Drosophila melanogaster: one gene and its partners. The protein of the gene in region 1 interacts with the protein of each later gene in a pairwise test. Each region holds a gene or a part of one and is shown in the gene's direction. Other genes may lie near its edges.

Region 1 (6,753 bases):
GTCCAAGCTGCTGCGGGACTATTCGCGCACCATTGCCGGTAAGGAGCAGCTGCTGATTGCTGCCATCGCCAAGGGCCTGGAGATCATTCCTCGCCAGCTGTGCGACAACGCCGGTTTCGATGCCACCAACATTCTCAACAAGTTGCGCCAGAAGCACGCCCAGGGTGAGTGTCCAATGGTATTTGTCCATACAAAGCCACCTTAACGATGAGTGAATTTGAAATTTATATTTGAAAGGGGGAAGGATAAGTTTTTATTTTAAAGAACTTGTGTGTGAAACTTTAAACAAAAAACATTTGTTCCTCTTAACGAATGATAATCCATTTTTATTCACTTCGTCCAATTGTCTGTCTGATTACTTTTTTGAGCTGCTCATGCCAGAGAAGGAAGCAGGGTTCCTGGCATAGACCCGGCTTATCGGGACAGGTGTTGCACATGTACCTGCTGAACTGCAGCATTCCGCCTTTGTGGCAATAGCGGCAGTTTTTCTTGGCCGGCTTCCCGTTCTGCTGGATAAGCATGGGTTCGTGTAGAATGGTCTTCAACCTGGGCTCGGGCACCGGCTTGTTCTTTGACCGTTCATATGTCTCTGGCTTCTGGATACTAGTTACCGGTTCGTTCGTCACTTCTTCTCTTAGAAGCGACTTTATGATGATCACCCGGAACTCCGAGTAACTTTTAAGATGTCCGACTCGCGCATTCTGGCCATTAGCAAAGTATAGCAAATAGGCATTGTACACGAGGATGTTGAGTAGGAAAATGGTCAACTTTATGTTTGCCTTCAGCTCCTTGCAGGCAGCTTGGTAGTGGATCAGGTGGTGGCGACCGTCGTTTCCAGGTCGTAGTTGAAACTCGAGCTCCTGGATCAACTTAGGTTTTGCATTTGTCTTTTGCATGGCCATCTCCTTGGAATAAATGGCCAAGCAGTCAGAGCTGAAGCAGTACAAGCTCTTTGCCCGTCGTCGCCATTTGGCCATCATCAGAGAAGTGGCATAGCTGGTGGAGATGCTGTTGGAATCCAACCGCTGGTGCACCAGTGCCTTACTGTTGCCATATCTATTCCTGTCCAGCAGACCAGTGCAATAGGTGCTTTTCTTGGCCAACTCCTGAGCCAGGCCGTAGCTTCCATAGAACTTTGAGGTGTACACAGTGCGTCCTCCATGGTAACCCTCCATTAGTTTCAGGACAATCTTGTTTCGGTGCTCCACCAACTGCCGGGAATTGCGTACCCATGCCGGTGCGTCTTCCTTCCGCACAATCTCCGGTAGAATCTTCACCACCAAACCGCTCTGCTCAGTTAGCATATGCAGCAGTAGTGCGTTGGTGCGGAATTTGTTTGGAAGTTCATCCTGGTATCTTAATGCACCCTTCCACAGAGTGATAGGTTCATTGAGCACCAGTTGCTGGCCACAAATGTATATCTCTTCCATACGCTCGTTGATAAAGTCTAGCAGTAGAGAGTTCTTCACTTTGGCTCTGCCCGCTTGTAGCTGCGGTGCATCAAAGTTAAGGCAGTGCAGCAGCTGCTGATACCGTTCCAGAGGAATCTTCCCAGAGAATCCGACGAGACCGTAAAACATGTTAGTGCTCCAGTAATCCGATAGGTGCTCCAGCTTCAGGTCACACATAAGCAGGGAAAGCGCCATAAAGATTTCCATTTCTTCGGCAGTTGTGGGATTGGACTTGAGCTCTCCTCCCTTTAGGTTGCAGCTTTGGGCCAGGGAACTGAAGAACTTGGAGCGATTTCCCAGCACTTGGTTGAAGTAGTGCTGTGGTCCCTGGAAGCGTTGTCCGAATTTCAGGCCACTCTGCTGGATGGGAAATTTGAAGAGCAGTCGGGAACCCGTCTGCTGGCTGGACCAATCTGGATCGTAGTCATCCATATCGTCTGGGTTTAAAAAGGATAATTTTATAAGTGGGGTCTTGAAATGACGGGAGGAGCACCCTTCTTACCCTGACAGAAGACATCTTCAGCTTGGTAATCGAGCTCTGAGTAGCCATCCTCGTCGGAATCACTCTCTTGCTGTTCCAATTCCAAGCGAATGGTGTTGCTGGCCGCCTGCTGCTCCGCCACCAGCTGCAATTGGAGTTCAGTGAGATCCGGCTTGATATCGGCCGTACTTAAATCGTAGTCTGCTAGCGCCGGATAGCCGTCCAAGGGTTCCGACTTGATGTCCACACTGCGTCGCTTCACCGGCGACCGGTGATCGTCCTGACGCGGCTTAAGTTGCTGCTTGCGCTTTCTTCCGGAGCTGGACATTTCGTTTGGCTGCGTTTTCTCTTCCAAATAATGTAAATACAGAGGAAATTTTAGCCGCAGCAACGCGTGTTTTTCTTCGACCTCACTGTCACTCGTCCTCTCTCACTCGAGTCACATGTGCTGTATGTTGTGCTCTTTCGCACCTTCTCAATTCGTTTATTGCGCGGGCTGTAAGCGGCGTTGCCACCTGAACGAAATGTTACCTGCAAAAATCGTTGGCGAATTCAAATCGGTCGTGTAATTTTGAACTCTAATTAATAATTATTATAATTTTATACATTTACCTTTTTACAGGAGGACAGTGGTACGGCGTCGACATCAACAAGGAAGACATTTCGGACAACTATGAGCAGTGCGTCTGGGAGCCGTCCATCATTAAGATCAATGCACTGACGGCGGCCGCCGAGGCAGCCTGCATGATCCTTTCCGTCGATGAGACAATAAAGAGTCCCAAGGCCGGAGAACCCCCGATGGCCGGCGGTGGCATGGGAATGGGCCGCGGAATGGGCAGGCCCATGTAAATAGAATCATTCAGAAATCCAGAGAACACTACACCCTAATCATCAAAACTCACTTGCATTTCTCTCCTAATTTAACACGTACACGTATTACTCGGTCATACCTTCGCATTTCGCACGCTTCGAAGCAAGAACAACAGCAACAATAATCCACTGACCTATCTGTATATGTTTAATAATAAAACACAAAATTGAAATTTGTATTTTCATAACATCAGAACGTTTTTAGTTTAAATGCGGGGCGAGGTGGCAACTCTGCGGGGAGTGCTGTTAAGCAGCTGCCCGTGGTGCTGTTAAACGCAAGCAACATATTGTCAATCCAATCCAACCCTTAAATAAACAATAAATAATGGGCAATCATAAAGTTCTTCGATCGGCAGGAAGCAATTTGCGCTATTCGATGTACGAGTTCATTGACGCGGTACACAAACGTTCTATTATATGGGAACGAAGCCACCCAAACTTCCATAACCGCGAACTCAGAGATGAGGCCTGGCAGCAAATTGGCCACGAGCTTTGCTCGAATTTTGACGACTCCAGCGAGCCGGAGAAGCAGGAAATAGGTAGGTGGTGGCTACCTTTTTGAGTCTATATCATACATAACTTCCAATTCCAGTTAAAACACTGCTCAAACGTTGGAAAAACACGAGGGACAGCTACCTACGGGTCAACCGACTACGTCAAAGTGGCGAGGAGGTGGCCAGAGCTTCCTACATCTACGAAAAGGAACTGAGTTTCCTGCTGAACGTGAAAGCAGAGTCGGAGGACGATGTAGAATCCTTGAAGGAGCAACCCAAGCCCCAGGCCAAACGGAAGCGAGTGAGCACTGCCGCACAGAGATCTGCAAAGACTCCACGAAAGAGAAACTCCGACCAAGAATCGAATATTGAGCCTGCCATCCGCAATCCAGCCATACCAAGCAACATAAATACGGTTCTGGGAGATCTGGGCTGCGCCAAGGAGGACACCGCCACTCCGGAAATCGCATATATTCCACAGTTACCATCAGATCCACCCTGCAGTACAAATACCGCCTACTTGTCCGCCGATCCTGATCAGGCCTTCTTCGACACCATTAAGCCTCACATGCAGCAGATGTGCGCCGATCGCAAGCTTGACTTTCAGATCGAGGTCCTGAAAATCCTACGAAACTTCAAGCCGAATTGAATATTCACTACAGAAGTCAAATCATTTACAAATGCATTTACAAGAAGGGCAAAATTCGTTTAACAGCAAGTTAACATAAGCAATAAGAATACATTTAATCGTTATCGTAAATCGTCTAATCTTTAGGGCGCGAAATTTAAATAATGAACTGTAATTTGTAATTTAATATACAAACAATAATATTCACAAACCAGGGGTTAAACTTTAATGCAACCAATGATTCAATTATTTTTTTTAGTTCTTAATAATGCGTCAAATAGTTTTCTCATAGTAACTTCTGTGTTTTGCGCAATGTATATATTATACGCTTACTTTTGTAATTTTTGATAATAATACAATAGTTGTAGAGTTATTTAAGACAATGAAAAAAACATTAAAAACAACATTAAATAATGTATAAAAAATATGCATTTTATTTTGTTTTAAACCATAAATTATCTAACGACGGCAATATATTTTTATACGTGGGTTTCAATATCAATTTCATACAACATGGATTTGTATGGAATTTCATATGAATATATATGCTCATATGTATATTAACTATGTATGCAAGCAAATTGTCCACATGTGTAATTGATATTTTTACATAAATCCCATGTTCTGTTATTCATCCCCCTAGCCACTACTTTCTTGGGCCGGATGCTGTCTCAATACATATTTATCGCCTGCAGCGAAATTTTAGTATAAACATAAACTGTCAAAACGATACATAAGCCATCGGATGGCCCATGTTCCAAAGCCGTTTGACCAGTTTCGGCTGATGTTGATACAAAAAAGAGTTGAAACCTGTATTCATACAGCTTGTACCTCTTATGCCAATCGAGTTTTCATTATGTATACCGATTTCTTCATGGTTTTTGTTCAACACAAAGGCACATTTATGGATTGTACGAGCGTATTTATAAGTCGACACTCCAGACGACACCCCTAAAAAGAAATCGCTGAAAACCGTTAAGGAACCCATAGGGGTAACACAGAGATTTGGATGCGGTGTCGGCTTTCAAGCGTTCCACACTGCTGGGAATTCCCTGAGTACCATCTATGGGGGGTACGACGATATCGTTACCCCGAATACCCGCCCCCACAATTCACCCGACAAATGGTACTCGTAACGTCCTGATGATGCCGTTCTCCTCGGGATCGCCCCATTCCATTTCCCACTTAACTGCATATGGTTTTTGTTAGTGGTTGTTTCGGGTTTCGGAAATTTCTGCCCGCGTTCGGGACCCTACCCTCCACTTCATCTATTAGCAACGGCTCTGGCAGCTGTTCTACCCTATTAAAAGGTCCCTTAGTTCCTCGATTCCGACTACCTGCATCTGCTGAATGGAAATGCACTGAAAACTTTATCGTATTTTCTTTTTTAAGTATTTTATTACTGTTATTTTGATTAGATTAAATGAATTGCTATGCAAGAAATGTAGATTCTACTGATAGGAAATCTACATCAATATCAATAAATCAATACTTCACGAAAATGATTGCAGGTGCAGTTTTTTAGGGAAAAATAAAACAAATAAAAATCAAGCAGAATTTTTGTTTAGGGTAAAATACTTATTTATCATGATTGCTTACTCTTCTAGGTCTAACTTAAATTTTTTGCAGTGTACAAAGGCATTCCCAGCGTGTGTAACGTACTTTCCAGCCTTAACGAAACCGGGCACCGAAGGGAATTTAGGGTATTCTACCCCTGGAATACCTCCCCTCGCATACCTGTAGCAATTCTGGGCATTGCAGTGAAATCGAATAATAGACAGGAAGTCCCTTCGATGTCTTTTATTCCTTTCAAGAGCCGAGCCGCTCTAGTAGATCATGGTGCAGCGATTGTGTCGACCCATGATGCTGGTCTTTGTTCTGTTTTATCCTAAAACTAAGTTCCTAATGTGGTGGTCCTAGGCATCTGAGCCCGACTCAGGTGGAGTTATCCAGAACAACCACCTGTGTGTTTTGGTATCTTCGCCAGGCACTCTCCGCCCTTTCCAAGTATTCACCGATCTCCTGTCGCTTGTTCAGAAGGTCGTACTTCTCTAGAGCCAACTTCAGGAGTACGTACTCCAGGCTTCGAATGCCTCCGAGATTGTTTGGATCCCTTAGGTTATCGACTAGGATTACGAATTTCTTGAGCAGCTCCACCAGCTGCCCAAAGTTGCTCAAATCGTCCAGATTAGCATCCACCTCGTTGACGTATCGCATACTCTGCTTAATCCTTCTGGCCAAATCGGTGCTCCTGCCAACCAGGGGTGAGAGCTCCGTATTCAGCTGTTGCACCGATCTGCGCGTATCGGTCACCTTCAGCAATGCGTCCTGATTATACTGATCCTGATCTGTCCACTGGGTCATCGGAGCCTTAGTAGTCGCTCCTTCGTTGTCCACCATAGATATCCGATCGTTCTCCACAATAATGGTCTTGTCGATGGTGTCGGATGCATTCGGCGGCTGCTGTACGTGAAAGTCCAAGGTGAAGTGAAACCGCATGCTACCCTATAAGGATTAGAAATTTTGTTAAGAAACATCCAGCAGGCTTGCACAATCGGAAACATGCCTGGACCAAAGTAAATGCTGCTAGGAAAACCAAAATAGTCTTAGAGGACCACATCTTGTCGGTGAACTGGGAAATGTTTGACTGATTCCAAGCTGAAATCTCACGATCAGACCACTTCATGCAATCCAAGCTCGACATCGACGCTTATCAAACCACGGGGTTATCACACATCGTTCCCACTTGACCGATAACAGATTCATTCACATTCAATGAGTTTTCTAGCTATGGGAATACATATTGCCAGACAAAGCGCAAGTCACGTG
Region 2 (8,299 bases), on another chromosome or scaffold:
CCCCGAAACCATATGAGTTCCTGTTTATCTGCTATCTGGCCTATCAATCGGTGTGTCATAACTGCATTTGGTTTTGTCAGTTTTCGTACGGTCTTTTTTTCTCCTTTGGTTTATCAATTTGCTGCAAATCTGGGCATTGTTTGCGATGTGAATCTGGAAGGTTTCGCAAGGATTAAACGCACTCAGGCTCGACGATGGCAATCTCATTTGTTTGCGACAATTGTTTGGCCATCGATGGATCGATGCTGATTTCGATGCTTCGATCGTTTTTGAACCAAATCTGTTTGCCTTGTGGCCTATGAAATTGTATCCGATGTTTATCTATAAGGGCAGAGCAAAATCCGCACGGTGAAATATATTGCGGAAGGGGAAAGGGCTTCTTTTAGAAGTCCCAAGCGGTTGCCAAACACAACCGAAAATTTGAATGATTTTCCTCGTGCTTTTTGCTTTTTGATTAACATTAATGAGCGACAAAAAGTGCAAAAATTTACATGGCAACGGCGGCATCTCTGCCCCCATTGTTGTCCTGGTCTTTAGAAAATTTTCAATTCACCGCGACAGGAGCTTGTCAGGAGTGTGTGGAAGCCTCATCCACCTCGTCAACCTATCCATCCCCAACAATAACGATTTAGGCATTAGAGCTCCATTGAAATCTTTTTCGTTGCGATTGTTGAGCTTCATTCTGCAGGCTTAGGGCCTTGAAGACGGGCTCAACAAGATGGCAAATCCCCCATCTGGCTGTTCTCATCACAATATTCTCTATCTAAGTTGCAGTCGGTGCATTGTCAGCGCTTTTTGTCTAACTACTCATTAACATTTATTTGCAAGTGCAGAGAATGCTATGGCAAATGCAAAAGCAACTGCCATGATAAATATGACAAACAGACAATGGCCAGATAGACAAACAGAAAACAGAAACTGACAATGGAAAAATGCACTGCGAAAAAAGGGGGTAAGGTGATGAAAGGGATAGAGAATGGTCGACATGGTAGTAGAAAAACAGAAATTTGTATTCGCCCCAACGGAGTGTTCACTGTTCAGGTTATTATACCTTTAGATATATTGTAGCTTAACATGAATATTATAACGAATTTTTTAGATTTTTACGAAGGGAACTTTAAAAAAAGGTGTATTTTATCATACTTTAACGAAAAACTAATTATCCATTTAACTTGAATATCTGACAAACCCCATTCAATAGCTAGCACAGCCATTTTAGGCATTCAGGTGAGTGCAGTGTATAATTACAATGGCTGACTAACTGAGGAAGCGAGACAGACAGAGCGAAAGAGAAGGGGACATAGCCAAAGACAATGGACACAACCAGTACATAGAGTGCGACAGGGAGCGGTAGAAGACGAGAGAGCGAGAGGGGAAAACCAGGTCCAAATAAATGGAACAGTTGCAGTCCATCCATCTATCCATCCAGCAAGCCCTTCGTCACTCACTCAGTTCGTCAAGTTGGGGCTGGAAAAATGTGCGCCATTGTTTCCAACTTGCAATTGTTTGCTGACAATTGGCAAAAAGGCAGCAAGTACTCCTCTTTTCTCAGACTTTTCCACTATCTCCCATGTAGGAAAGGCTTAGGTCATTAGAGTCAAATTAAATTAGAGTGCTAGTAGGTAGTTTCATCTTATAGCAGGTACACACTGTTTGCATTTGTCATTAGTTCGTTGTTAATTAAAACGAAGCCAAAGTGCCAGACGACAGAACTCGACACGACAGAGTGAATGGAAATCAAAATGCGCTAAAAACCGCCCTGAAACAATGGCAACACCTGCGTAATGCCCTGGCCCACCCAAAACCCTTTACACAAAAAGTCCTGGAACAAAGCCCGACCAAATGCGAATGGAGTTGGGACTCCGGAGTTACGAGCCGTTGTCCTGGCAACGCCACCACCACCAAAGCAAATTAACAAAACAATAATGTAGACACGAAAAATTGCAAAGCAATAGTAGGCACTTTGCAGGACTATATACTCCTAAAGTCCAGGTGTCATCATGCACAGATATAAAAAAATTAATTTTGGAAATGGTATTTCATGTGGGTCAAAACACTCAATCGTTAATTGTCATTCCAGTACAGAACGTGTTTTTTAGATCAAAATGTAGTACTATGTGCGAATCTACAACAGACACTACTTTAATCTTTGTCTGAGCCAAAGATAAAGTGTCCCAAAGTGGTCTGTCTGGACCAATTTTGGACTATGGCCACCTTGGTTAACATATCCACCATTTTGAGCTTGGGAATTGGCCAAAGGCGAATCGTAGTTGCGGGCCAGATGTCAGGCTCAGATCTCCACGGTTCAGCTCGATTCAAAAATAAATGTCCATTAAGATTAGTTGATTTTGCTTTCGATAGTTTGTTTTTCACCTTTTTTTTATTTTTTGGACGCTCTTTGCTGGTCTCTAAGCAAATGCGGTAAATAATCGAGAAACTCCCGAAAAGCTCACTCCCAATGGTGGCACCTCTTACCAGTAAAGAGACCGTCGTAGACCCCCACTTTACCCCCATTTTCCACTTGGCATTTCATGTAACACGAAACCTTCCCCAACCAGAAGCATTCCAATTGGAAACGCCCATCATGAGACTCGTTGTTTAGAGTGAAATGGCTATGGTGGCTTAGTAGCTACTCCGTTTATCTCGCTCGCACTCCCACGCAACACCTGCTCTGGTTGACCGCCCTGCCTCTGCATTCTGCATCCCTTTCTGTCTGACATTTTTTATCTCTGTTGCTCTCGTCTTTTTTTTCCTGACGTCGCAGTTCTTGGATTTTTTTTTATTCTTTCCTTCACGAAATGTCACCTGGTCGTTGGGCCTCTCTCTCACCAATACAACGATATTTTTGCTCTCAATTTTGAATTTGTTGTGGATGTAGTTTCTTTATAAACAGGCTTATAAAAAACATTTAACAAACCAATAAGAAAGAAAGCTCTCGGAAAAAGTATTAATCCAGAGCGAGAGAGAACACAAGCTTTTGCAGAGAGGATTTGCTGAGTATGTGTGTGTGTGCTTCTGTGGAGCGATACTGTTACATAGCAGCTGTCTCACCGCCCCACCTGCCACGCCCCCCGCCCCATTCGGTGACTGAAAGACTCGTTTTTTGGCTCGTGTGTTTTTGAAGAGAGCGCGCGCCAAGTTTTTAGTTACGCGTCGGAACGGATCCGTTGAATAGCCGCCAAAGCGCGCTTAGATGCAGCAACAGCCAACTTGGCCAAGAAGAGCCGATCAGCCAACAGCTAGCGACGGTTTTAGCCCCCTCACAAGAAACGCCAAGAAACAACCGATATTCGCAAAAAAAAAATACAAAGGATAATACTAAAAACATAAACAAACTGTTCTCGGTAAATATCCCAAAGTAAAAGTGAATCCTAAACAAACCAAACTTTTCTTTCCCATTTAACTAAATAATAAAACACAAACCAATTCAAAAAACAGTGCTCATATGATATCAACTTTCAACGCTCGTAAAGTGCTCATAGAAATGAAACAAAATACAAATCCAAATAAAGCAAAGCGATTTAAAAGTCTCATAAAGTTTTGAAATCCTAAGCTACTTATTTATCTTGCAAACTTCAAATCAAACAAGCTCCATTCTTTGTAGCATCAAAACATTGGATGCACCATAAGTATCTTATCGATGAATGGAAAGCAAACAACACACGTCAACATAAACTAGTGATATCCATTGGAAAAGTGTTCGTCAAACAGATTCTGTTACGAAACAGCTCAAGACCATAAAAGTCAACAAATTCAACATTTTATGGCAGTTCGGAAAGTGGAATTCATAAGCGACAAAAACAAACCATAAACACATATTATCCAAATAATTCGGTAGTATATTCCGCATATATGCTGCCATCGAATATTTGATTCCAATCGCCGGAAAACGGGAAATTTAAAGGAAATGCAGAACTCTTCGAGGTAACTTCATTGAAGCCAAAACATTATGGATTCTTTAGTTAGTTGTTTAACTTAGCTGCTTTGATTTTAATTAGCAAAACTACATATAAACACATTTACTTACATTTTTTTAGTAAAAGTAAAATATGATCTATGATAAAGTCTGATCCCATAGAACTGAGCATAAGTCTTAAAATTGTTTTCCAAGTTAATTGAAATTACTTCAAGTCAGAAAGCAGGTAAAAAATCAATTAAAAATCCCTTTAACCCTTTACAAATTTCATTTAATTCACCGCCGTTCAGAACGCAATTTGAACAACTTTTCTTGACCATCAATTAGGTAAACACGGAGAGAGCTCCACATAATGAGTCTGAGTGCGTCAGATACAAGGGGAATCAACAGATTTTATTGTTTGGATAATTTCAGGATTTTCCTCTTTTCATTTTCTGCGAAATCATTGTCGGAATCTTTATGCCCCACTCGAGGTGTGTTTACTTTTGCTTTCGATCTTCCACTTGAATTAAAGCAAGCTCGTTTTCTTTCTCTGAGGGGCATTCAAAGTTGTTTGGTTAACTTAATTTCGAAATATAAATGAAAACCGACTCAAGGTATGTGAAAAGCCGCAATGAAAAGAGAGTCAAAAGCACCAGAGAATTTGAAATGACGCAATTAGAGCAAATAATAGTAAAAGAAATAGGGAAAAACAACGTATGTTTATTAATATATTTACACAAAATGTGACAACAATTGAATTTAATGTGACGCGCCCCCATCATATAGAAATCGACTTTGGACCAGCACACAAAAAACCCAATTGTGCAAACAGAGTTTTCTGAAATTATTTTGCGCACCAGATGTCAATCGAATATTTTTACGCCATTCTTTTGGCCATTGTGTTCGCTTTATAAATTTGCTCAAAAAAACAGGCATAATCCAAAGAAGAGTATGAAAAAATTCTAATTAATACCCGGCTGTATCAGCACACATATGGTTAGCTGACTTTGTATCGGTTCTTTTTCTTTTCGATAGCCCTTTGGATAGCCCTTGGCACAAACTTGACACTAAACCTTGGAGGAGCAGGGTATGTGGTTATCGAGACACTGGCACGTTTACGAGGCGATTGTTGCGAGTGTGAAAGTTCTTAATTACAAACATTAGGGGGCCCAGCGACTTAGGGCCCTGAGAAGATCCGATCGCAGCGGGCGGGCAAGACGACACTTTTGAATGGAGGGTCTGCTGGGACCGAAAACCCGGTGCGTATCCGCGATACATTTCAACACAAAGTGGAGACACTTAAAGCTCTACCTGTGTTGAAGACGAGGTGGAAGACTGCAGACCGCGAGACTCCTCTTCGCCGCTAAAGAATGAGCAGAAGAATATGGCTGGGGGAGAGATCTCGGGCTCAGCATGTGGCTAAGCCGATCATAATTCTTGTTTGACATACCAACAAACGGATGAACAAATGAACGCGAAGCAGCAACAACACGGCCAACTTGGTCGGGGGTTACGAGTGGATCTATATGGCCCCCGAAACTCAAGTGGCCAGCGGGTTAATTTTACTCCTACTGCGATACGATACGAAGTCCGAAACAGAAGAACGGCTTCAGCACTCGATTTCCATGAGAAAGAGTCGGACATAAGGTGCCTCTGGTGGGTTATCTATTAAGGCTACTAGATTAACACCCTGAGAAGACCCACGCTTTTGGGTTTAACGGTTACATTTCCGTTACAAATAAATATCGGAGCTGCATTTCGGTCTGCGTGGAGGTGCAGCGAATCAAAAGGAGGAGCTGGCATATTCACAGCAAATAAAAATATCTGGAGTGCAATTTGTGCACAGCTGGTGGTGCAACCGTCGATTCGGATGGTGGCCCTGTGGTGCAACTGATACTGCAACTGCGACACTGCACCACATCGGAACAAGTGTTATGTCCACATAGTCATTTTCGGTTTTATTGCCATTTCAATTACTAGAATAATCACAAAATTAAATTAGTTCGAAAATAAAAATCCAAACATAAATGCAACTTCATATCAATTGATATATGCGTAGTGTTTTCAAAATATGAAATTTAGCGTATACCTTGAGTGGAGGCACAAATAAACATAATCAATTCATTTTTCTCAGTGTATTCTGCCAATTCGCAACATAAAAAGGAGGAGCAAAAATATGGAGAGCAACTTGACAACACAGAAATTTGTTTGCACTCCATAAGGATTACAAATATGCGTGTCCCTTTGCTAACCGCTCCCCGTTCCCAGCTCCCCCTTTTCTTTTAATATAAATTTCATGCTTAATACGCATGCTTGGGCAATTTTTACTTTAACACCAAGTGGTAATGCCCGGAAGCAGTACAGATGTCGCCTCGCATAGCCCAACGCAAGTTATTGACCACGATGCGTTGCATGGCCAGAAATGCCAATGAACAGGGCCAAAAAGAGAGACTGCGGAATATGGCAGCAGAGAAAAAACAGTCGAATTGGACAGATAAAGATAAATAGTTTCGAACCACAGTTGGCCACTTCATAAACCCAAGGATATTCCAAAATTATTGAGTACACGTAACGATCCAGAAATAGTTTTATGTTTTAGATTTATGAGTCTCAACAACTTTTTAGTAGCTTTTTATCTACTATAGGCTGTAAATCCTAAAAAATTATATTTTCTAAATAATTTAATAAGTCTTTAGCTTTAATAAAAGCAAGCAACTAATAGTTTATCTTGTACAAGCCCTATTATACATATACATTTTGCAATACGTACAATATGGGATCGCACTTACCTCCTTAAGTAAACAAAGAATGCTAAATGTATGCTACTTAAATAATTTCTTGGTGATTATTTTAAGAAGCTTAGCTATTTATAAAACAGATGATTTAAACATAAAGATCAAGAAATGTGTCAACGGCATTGTTTCTTTTGAAAATATTACCACGTTTTAGTGATACAAAATATTTGAATTATCCCAACTGAAAACAACAACCACTTTATTTATCTTTTAATAAGAACGCTTAAGTGTCCTCCCTAATTAAAATGATTAGCAATGATCATGATTATTCAGATGTAATACTGATAAACTTTAACTAGAAAGTGAATTAACCTGATAAGTTTTTACATGAATTTTAAAGGAATCCAATTCAATTCATACTGCAAGCAGTCCACTTTAATTAGCTGACTAGCCACTCAGATATAATTATATTATGAATTATTCCCGTTTGCGTTCGCCAACAACTCGCAGTCGTTTCCCTCCCCTACGCCTTGTGACCCCTCAATGCTCATTGGGGCATTGTTAATCAATTAACTAATTGATTTCAGCTCTTAAAAGTATGTCGTCTGAGGCCCATTCTTCGGGGACAAAAAGAAAACAATGCCGAGTGGAGTCGTGGACTTTTGGGCCAAAAAACCCACTTGCGAGCCGCGCTGGCGGTTGCCACCTCAACTCGTCCAGAATCGGACTCACTCCTTTTCAGCGCCCATTGTGTGGGCCAAATGTCAACCCTTAAAACCGACCGGGATGCACAATAACACAACAACAAATGAGACGACTACGACGACGTCGTCGTCCATCCTTTCCATTATGCGACGGGGCACTTGAAACCCATTTCTTTCCCATTTTACATTTTTGTGTACTCTATTTGCACCCGAGCCGCTTGTTTTGGACACGCTGGAATGAGCTGGTCATGTGGCGGTTCATGGGCTTCAATTATGGGTCCTTTCGATCCCACATGTGCGTGCATTATAAGCGGGATTTACGTGGTCCACTTGATGCCCCAGCTCCTTCCGCAGAACGTGTTAAATACGGCAAGGCAAGGGGAACGGGGAAAAGGGTCAAGAAGCCAGCGTCCGGCTAAACGCTTTCAATTTGTTTAATGGTCCCTTTCGGATTCGCATTCGGGCTCGGATTTCCTCGTCCTCCTCATCAGGATCTCGAGGACAATCGAGTGCGGGTGTGCCAGGGACATATGCCTCAACTGAGTGCGAATCCCCATTCTACATGCACATATATGGCCTGCTATTTGGCTGGCATTATCCTCGGTAAATGTGTCATCTGCAGTGGATATTTGCATGGATTGGACGTTGGTCTTATCTCGAGAAGTTTTGCTGCCCATTTTTTGGAGAGCTAGAGTTCCGAGCCATTAGGTCACCCAGGAGCTTAGACACATAAAAGGATATTATTTAGGGTATGAGGACACGTGTTTTTATTAGGCAAACACAATTCAAGAGGAAAATTCAATACGCAAAGTAACCTCAAAAAATCTTAGACCTACAAAAAATGCATATAAAAACATTTCGCTTTGATGCATAACATTTATGGTTTATTGTTGACTAATAAATTAATTAAGTTATCACTAATACGTGTCTGATCATTTCCCATTAGCTCAACGCATCAAAAT
Region 3 (8,033 bases), on another chromosome or scaffold:
TATTATTGATACAGAATGCTTGCTAAAAAATATTTTCTATATGAACCTCATTACGTATTATACCCAATATTTATTATTCAAGAATATATGTTGCTGTATTTATTCTTTGCGAGTTGCTTCTAAAATGCAATCCTCACATACAAAATGTATCAATTGTTATAAATAAAAGTTAAATTTACATATTTTAAAATATTATGATGATAACATTAAAGCGTGCCAAACATTTGCGCATTTTAGTTCGGATCTGGGCAAGGACTTGTTTCTGCTGACCTTTTAATGACCATCGGTGCAATGTCGAATTTTAGCGACCGCGTGAGTGTGGGTGACACGTGTGTGCCATATATCCTTGCACTGCATCGGTTGCATTCAGTTTACAATTTGTCAAGGAAATGCAAAAGAACTGCAGTGTGCAGCCCTGAAATTAATCCGCTTCACCCGGTACCCACTATATTTGTTTTCTCCCATGTCTGCCACCTACTACCCAATGTCATTTACAGGAGCTTTACGCCTGCTTCATCGAACTGTACAGTAATGTTTAACAATGACTGACAATTTTGTAAAATGAGGGGTAAGTGAAAATTCACTTAATAGAATTGTAGTATTTAAGCGTTGGATGGAAAAATATTTAAAATGGTGCCCTCTATCATACAATTTATATTAAGCAATTTGAACTAGTTGTTTAACTATACTGAAATTTTGGCTTAGATATGCATCATAAGGTAATACAGGAACTTGTATCAGTCTATAGTGGGCATCACTGCCTTCCCCACGCTTGGGACCTTGGCAATGAGGCACTTCCAGCCATGGATCCGAATACGAAACCGAACCAGAGCCAAGGACCCGACTTCGGATGCGGAAATGCGCATGCCTGCGTGTCCTTGCCCTTGGTCCTTGGTCCTTGGTCTTCGCCCGATGGAGCAGTAGTAAGTCTCGTAGTGCCCCTGAAAACTCTTTTAACCTTCGTGCAGCCGTGTGGCAAGTGCATCGATGCAGCTCGCAAACATGCGCTTTTGCACATCCGCTCTATGCAGAGAGAGAGAAAGAGAGACGTTTTTAACTGGATTCAGATTGGGTTGACGGGGGCATCCTCTTAAAAGGACCAAGGGTGGCGTCTGGTTGCCCCTGCCACGTGTCGCCAGTTGCAAATTTCACGACGCTGTCATTGACCATGGTATTTGACCACTATTGTATTAGGGCTGCCAGGGCCAGTGTCTCAATGCAACGCCCTCGTTGCATTTGGAGGTCCTCAAGGAGACAGATTCGGTTCCAAAATGCCCCAGAAGACTGAACCTGAATTGGCAAATGTCTGCAGTGGTATTTGCAAGGTTAAATTACATTTGCTATAGTTTATTTGTACAGTCGTTAAAACTTAAAATAATAAGCATCGATATTCCATAAAATAAAATAGTCAATATGCAATTTCAGAGTTTCTATTAAAAAATTATAATAGTGTAGTCACGGGGGGTTTTCTTGAAACGCTGTCCGGGAACAGTGATGATAAGTTCTTGAAAGTTAATCCCGTCTTGTCAACAACAATGGCAAATAAGAAAATCAAGGTTACAAGATGCTGTTCCCTTCAAACCTATCCCACAGCGTGAAAGACAATGAAAGCCAGATCCATAAGAGTGCAACCCCCGATGCTGGCTAAAATCGAAGCTCATAAAGGAAGTATCTCTGCCTGGGACCGACCTTACCAAACAAAAAGTAGCCCATCGAGTGTCTAGGAAACCGCTTGTCCTCTTACTCCTTTCTCGCCTTTTCTGCTTCGCGGCCCTTTGATACCCACTCGCTTTCCACACCCCAAGTCCAAGAGTCTGAAGTTTGCTTTCATTTCGTTGCCCGAGGGGTTGCAACTCCAGACAGACAGGGACCGACAACCAGGATCAGAAAACCCGAGAAATCCACCCACTCGCCGACTTTTTGCAATTATTTTTAATTTCTGTGCTACGACAACTCCCGGAATGCCAAAACTTTGCAACCCCAAAAGAAGCACGCAAAAGGGGCAAGTCACTCCAGGCGGGAACCACGATATGTACTACTGTACACGTCAGAAACATGGAAATAAGCTTGGAAAGCCCGGTACAGGGCAACTTGAAATGTTGCGATATCGAGATCATTAATTTGGCCTGTCTAGTTGGATAATGATTATTTTATTATTTCTTTTTATTGATAGTTCATCATTTAATGAGTTCCTAAAAATTTTAATATAGGTTGGTAGGGATTTTTATTTTTTTCCAAGCTAGTAGTAAAATATATTTGGGTTATTAAAGGATGAAATCAACACACACCTTCCATATGTTCCACATGAAAACATCAGCAAATTTCTAAAAAATTCTTTCTAATTTAGCTAAACCAAAAAAAAATTAACATAATGCTCTAAAGAACTTGTTTAGTTGTTTAATTGTTTAAATAATTTTTCAAGTTTCAAGATTTCAGATTTCTTAAACTGAAAAATTAGCATGATTTCGATTTCTTTCTAGCGGGCATCCACTGTGGCGACGTACACGTCCGCGCCTGAGTTCCATGTTCGGCGTCCATTGCACCCCCAATCTGCTTTGTACATTGACTTCTCTGCTCCGCTTTGTTCTCTGCATTCGCTGCAGGTTCTGGCTCTGTCGGCCTTCCGCTCTGCTCTTTCTCTCTATCACTCTCTGTAATGGTGATGGTGCTCTCCCTTTTCTCTCTCTGTAGCCACTGTGCATTCCCATACCACGACCTACCTTACCCACACCCACAGTGCGCTGCCGCTGCACAACTCCCGCCCAGGCAGCGCAGTCGGCGTCGACGGCGACAGCGCAGTTCGTTTTCATATTGAAAGTAGAATTTTTCACTTTTGCGAAAATTTGCAGTCCAGTCTCGGTCTGGTCTCAGTCATTTTGAATACGTCATGTGGAACGCACCGTCACCGTCGCGTTCCGTCCTCTGTCGCGCTTTTCCTCTTCTGCGCAATCGTCTTACCAATCGGCGGTTAACTTTCGTTTGTTAGCACCAGAATTCGATCGGGACAAATAGCAATCCTCTGAATGCAGATACAAAAAGTATCTGCGTGATGCGTCCGAATAAGTGGTGAACTCTTTGTACGTGAATTGGATTAAGGCAGAGTTGTGTGAGTTTTGTGTGCCAATTCGATGCTATATAAATATCACAAGTAACAAGGGAAGCACAAGGACAGTCTTTTCAATCACAATCAGAATAGTGCAAACAATTGCCAAAGTTTAAAATTTTAAGCTGTGACAATATTAAATACAGAAATATCTATAAAAAAATATGGTGTAACATATTATTGTGTGCAAGTTAACACTCGTCGTCATTGAAAATAATTCAACTAACAGAAATCCTTTATATATAGGATTTGTGAAACTGATCTATCTTTAAATAGAAAACTTATGCTTAAACTCATGAACCATTCAACAAAATTCACTTAACTGCGCATAACTGAACGATGTTAAGCATATACATATGTATAAGCATTATGTGACTCATGAAAGCATAAAAAACGGTCAAATAATATCAAGAACGAAAAATGTGCATAGAAATGCTCTCAAATTGTTTTAAAATAATAAACGAAGCAAAAAGTAAAAATATAAAATTTGAAATAGTTGAACAAAGGTTTGCGAAGTACTTAACAGTTCATACAATCGAAAGCCTAAAAGTTAAAAGTAAATTAAAAGCAGGTTGCTAAACTAAACAGAACAATACGAAAACCGACAAACATAAGATAGAAAAGTGATCATTTTATATTGCACAAAACCATGTATAAGGGTCGCATGACCTTTAACTCTCGGATATCAGGCGTAACTAAGTCCTCAATTAGATGGTTAAATTTATTGACCAAAAAAAACGAACTCGAAAGCACTTATCCTTCCTGCTGAATAAGCTCCTTTTTTGGACCCATTCCCCGGCTGTCTGACTCATTCCACTCGGATGAAACTCCGTCTGGAGTTGCAACCCTCATTAGAGGCGAGCCACACCCCCTGCAAACAGAACGCAGCCCCACCACCCAACGCCCCCTGGCAACTCCGCTGAAATGCAGAGACCCCAAGAAAACAGAGGAGGAAAGCTAACAGGGGATCTGCAGCCCGTTAACAGAGCGCTGCTTGCTCAACTGTAGACGCCCTGTTAGACTCGCCTTGGTGTGGGTGAACTTGAACACACATACACTCACGTGCTCTATTTCTCTCGGCGCTCTCTTTTTATTTGCACTGCTCTCTTGCTCGATTTATTCTATTTCAAGTTCTTATTTTGCAATGCAAGTGTGTGCGATGTCGTTCAGTGTTAAGGTCAATACATTGCCGCCTCGTGCTGTGGTGTGCGTTTTTGATTGTAGTCTGTGTGTGGGCTTGCACTTGAAGAAAATGTGTAATCAAAGTATAATTTTTTATTTAACCGTAACGTTGATTTTCACTTAAATTTACTGTGGCTAACAACATAGATTTAATTATTATTACTAACCAATTTTTTTTAAATTAAATAAGATGTTTGAAATCAATTAAACACAACTATGTATGTGATTGCAAAATATTCGAATAAAAGCATCATTTTATTAAAAGTTTTATTAAAATAAATTGTTATATTTTAAAAGCCTGTTCAACATATACACTCTGTCAAATGGTTGCAGCTCGTGAGGTTGCATTTTGTTTGTTGATTACGCTGCTATTGAATGTTGTCATGCACACGCGAGTGCACACACTTGCACGCCGAGTGTCATCGCCTTTGCTCGTTTGCAAATAGCGGTTTATTCGGCGCCTAGCGTTTGTATCTCCGTACATTTTTCTGGAGGTCTCCCCCACTGACGTTTGCGGAAACTTCCGCTATATGGCCGCCATCGAATAGACAGGGAATTGTGGGGCATGAGGCATCATCTCATGGCGCTTGGAAAAAATATGCATTTGTTTCGCCAATGCCAGATGATTGCTCTGATTTCGTGTTATAGACAGGTGAAAGTAAGCGATGTTGATAATACTTCTTATTAAGTATTAAACTTTTGATGCTTAGTGATAATGAAAATGATAAATTTATTAAATTAAAGTTATCTGTAACAAGACTAAAGTAGAACAGCCTTTGTTTTTATAAATTTATGTTCAGATAAAATGTTTGTAGTCACTTTTTACAGGATGAACATTCAAAAACTTTCAACAAAACATAAAAGGCCAAGCCCCAACCCAAACTAATTTAATTTTATGCGCAATATTCCCTTTTTTGGCAATACAGCTCCATTCATCAATTACGAGCAGACCCCGAACCTACCTCAATGCGTAACCCTGCCCTTACCCAGAGAAAATAACCCAGTGTAGCCCAGACCAACCGAAAAGCGCAACCCCACGAAAATCTCTCCACACGCACATTACTCATACGCACTGAAACACGGAAGTTGAGTCCCGTCAAGTGAAACCCCAAATGGGAAGCGAGCAACCCCCGAATAATCAACCCTTAGCCACAAAAAACTCCAAAAACTCCCCCTTGAAACTGCCCCAGTCCAAATTTTGTTAACCCCCATCGCAAAAAAAAAGTTTAGAAAAATCCGTGTGCGTTCTTCTCTTTTGGCTGGCTCATTCGCGTTTATTTTTGTTTATTTATGTTTTGCTTTTCGTATTCTTCACCTCAGCTTCCTCGTACGCAGTCGCTCTCTCTCTCCGAGCCTCTCGCTTTCGAATTCTTCCCATCTTTGCAGTCGGATTCTCTCATTTTTCATACGGTTTTCACTTTCATTGTGCAGCTTTTTGCGCGAGAACCGACTCGCTTTTTTGTCGCTCTTTTCTGGTTCTGTTCTGGCTTTCAGAGCTTTTGCTGTTTCAGTCAGAGAAAGTACGGCCAACGCAACGGTTGCGAATATATTCCAACCTGTCGCGATTCTAGCAAATAAACAAAGCCCCACTGGCCGAGCAGAGAGTGAAAATATAAGGAAAAAATATATTGAAAAATATTATAATAAATATACATATAGTGTCAATAAATCGGGGAAATGTGCAATAATTATGGGAGCTCGCCAAGGTCCCTTATATAAGCGATAGCCCATTGTCAAGGGCGCCAAGTGTTTTCCACATTGAGCCGTGGCCGTGGCCGTAACCGTGTCCGTGTATCGTGCTCGTATCGTATCCGTAGCGCCTCGTGAGCGTCCTTGTCCTTGTGCAGGCCGAACAGCTGCTTGGGTCCTATCCTGTCCTGTTCCGCCCCCTTCGGCCGCGACCTCGTCTTCGTCCTTGTTCTTGAACCGCAGTCCTCCAAAAATATCCGCTGCTACAGCAACTCCGCCCTGAAAACGACCTTCCCGTGCGCCCAGCTGTTGCTACCGACCACCCACTCGAATTCGACCCTCAGCTGTTGGCCATACGATATACGAAAAAGAGGAGAGAAGTTTGCTAGCATTAATGTCAGAAAATCGGAGATATCGCTAAAACAGCTGTGCGATTCCTACGAAATCATTATATTCGTCATCCTTTCGCAATGTGCTTCAATAAGTTGTTCCTAATAAACAAATTCACTCTGCGATTGCCTAACACAAAGGTCAAATGCCAAAAGAGACAAGTGTAAGAGCCCAAAACCACAAAAAATAAAACAAACGAAGTAAATCAAATTGAAATCAAAGTGAAAATTCCCAATGAATGAGCTTAAAGCAGTTAAACAAACAAAATTTAATAAAAAGTGGCCCTTAAGCATCCATTTAAAGCTCACACAACACCACTAAACAAACACAAACCAATATACAAAAAATCAACTAATTATATTTTTCTAGAGGTGTTTAAAAAAGAAACAACTACTACATGGAAGTATAAACACGGAAATCTAATTAAAAACAAAGTGAAAGAAGTTAATGCTCAGGTTAAAAAGTTTATAACAAAAAAGGCAACAAAAGCGTTGTGTTTCATGTGCAAAATCTTAAGAAATATCTATACAAATAAACACATATATTTTTGGAATAAAATTACTGATACTAATCATAATAATAAATCTTGTGAATCGTGTAACTTGTTTAAAATAAAAAGTAGTGTAAGCAGTGAATATATATTACAATTAAATTCATTTATAAACAAACAAAGATTAAACCTTATACACACGTAAATACGATCATTAAATATATATATTCTTATACACGATACGATTTTAATCAATCAATACATCAATCAATTCAGCAAACAATCGAGCGATATACTTCAATTTGCAAAAAAGTAAGTGTTAAATATAAAATTCTTAATCAATTAAAGATAATGTAATCCTTATTAATCCTTATTATTTTGAAAGTAATCACATTCTTTAAGGAGCTATACAAAATATGTGATTTTCGATGTAATTTTAATAGGATTAATCCCTTTCAGCTACTTCAAAGAAATACCTACAAACATACTCAGACGCTGCTGTGGATCAGGCGTAGCATAAATCAGCAAACAATAAGCCATCAAGTATTATTAGCAACTAAAACGAACTCAGACTCGGAATCAGCCTCAGAAATCTCAGCTCGAGATCATCAAACTTAACTCAACTTAACGCAACTCAGTCGAACTCATCTCATCGTCAACAGAAGAAGCCTCAACCAGAATACAACAGATACACGTATATATTTAGACATATGGTAATGATCAAGCAACTGTGGGCAGGTATAGGAACAACGCTAAGCTAAACGTAAGGACTAAGGACAACAACAAATTCTCTAGATTACAATAGAATACAGAAGAAGAGGACAACTTTTTCATGCAACTTTGAAGGCTGACAAAACAAATTTTTGATAATCCAAAAGCAGAAGCGAACAAATTACTAAAAAACCACAAACAGCAACAAAACACGCGTTAAGAAGAAGAGACTGATTTTAAAATAAAAGAGCTAGGCAGCGGAAAGGATAAAAGGCAGCAGAAGTGAGGCAAAAGTGATTAAGGATCAAATCCAATTAAAAAGAAAACAAACAAACGCAACTTTCCATACAACATATTTAGAATATATATCTAAGAAACATTGATATTTTTGAGCGATTATCCCTTCTTTGATATATCATGTTGAAGAAACTCAAATGCATGGAGGCGGTCCAGGCAGCAGCGGCTGCA

What was found. Proteins that work in one complex are often made in the same cells at the same time.
Region 2: the proteins of hng2 (region 1) and Sox21b interact in a two-hybrid assay, tested with the Drosophila melanogaster proteins (one large-scale study listed by BioGRID).
Region 3: the proteins of hng2 (region 1) and Eip75B interact in a two-hybrid assay, tested with the Drosophila melanogaster proteins (one large-scale study listed by BioGRID).

The regions. Positions count from the first base shown.
Region 1 is NT_033777.3:8,803,239-8,809,991, forward strand, and holds hng2 (hinge2), read left to right. Parts: upstream 1-3,083; 5' UTR 3,084-3,127; coding exon 3,128-3,341; intron 3,342-3,394; coding exon 3,395-3,945; 3' UTR 3,946-4,343; downstream 4,344-6,753. Other genes in the region: CCT7 (chaperonin containing TCP1 subunit 7), read left to right, coding at 1-164, 2,555-2,781; CG9839 (uncharacterized protein), read right to left, coding at 327-1,888, 1,954-2,260; CG9837 (uncharacterized protein), read right to left, coding at 5,860-6,429, 6,491-6,544.
Region 2 is NT_037436.4:14,126,183-14,134,481, reverse strand, and holds the start of Sox21b (Sox21b), read left to right. Parts: upstream 1-3,157; 5' UTR 3,158-3,344; exon of another isoform or gene 3,345-3,924; intron 3,925-8,283; 5' UTR 8,284-8,299.
Region 3 is NT_037436.4:18,059,555-18,067,587, reverse strand, and holds the start of Eip75B (Ecdysone-induced protein 75B), read left to right. Parts: upstream 1-2,891; 5' UTR 2,892-3,077; intron 3,078-6,134; exon of another isoform or gene 6,135-6,642; intron 6,643-6,733; 5' UTR 6,734-7,166; intron 7,167-7,313; 5' UTR 7,314-8,003; coding exon 8,004-8,033. UniProt on the Drosophila melanogaster protein: Implicated in the regulation of ecdysone-triggered gene hierarchies. Probably plays a key role in mediating the regulation of the larval molt by 20-OH-ecdysone.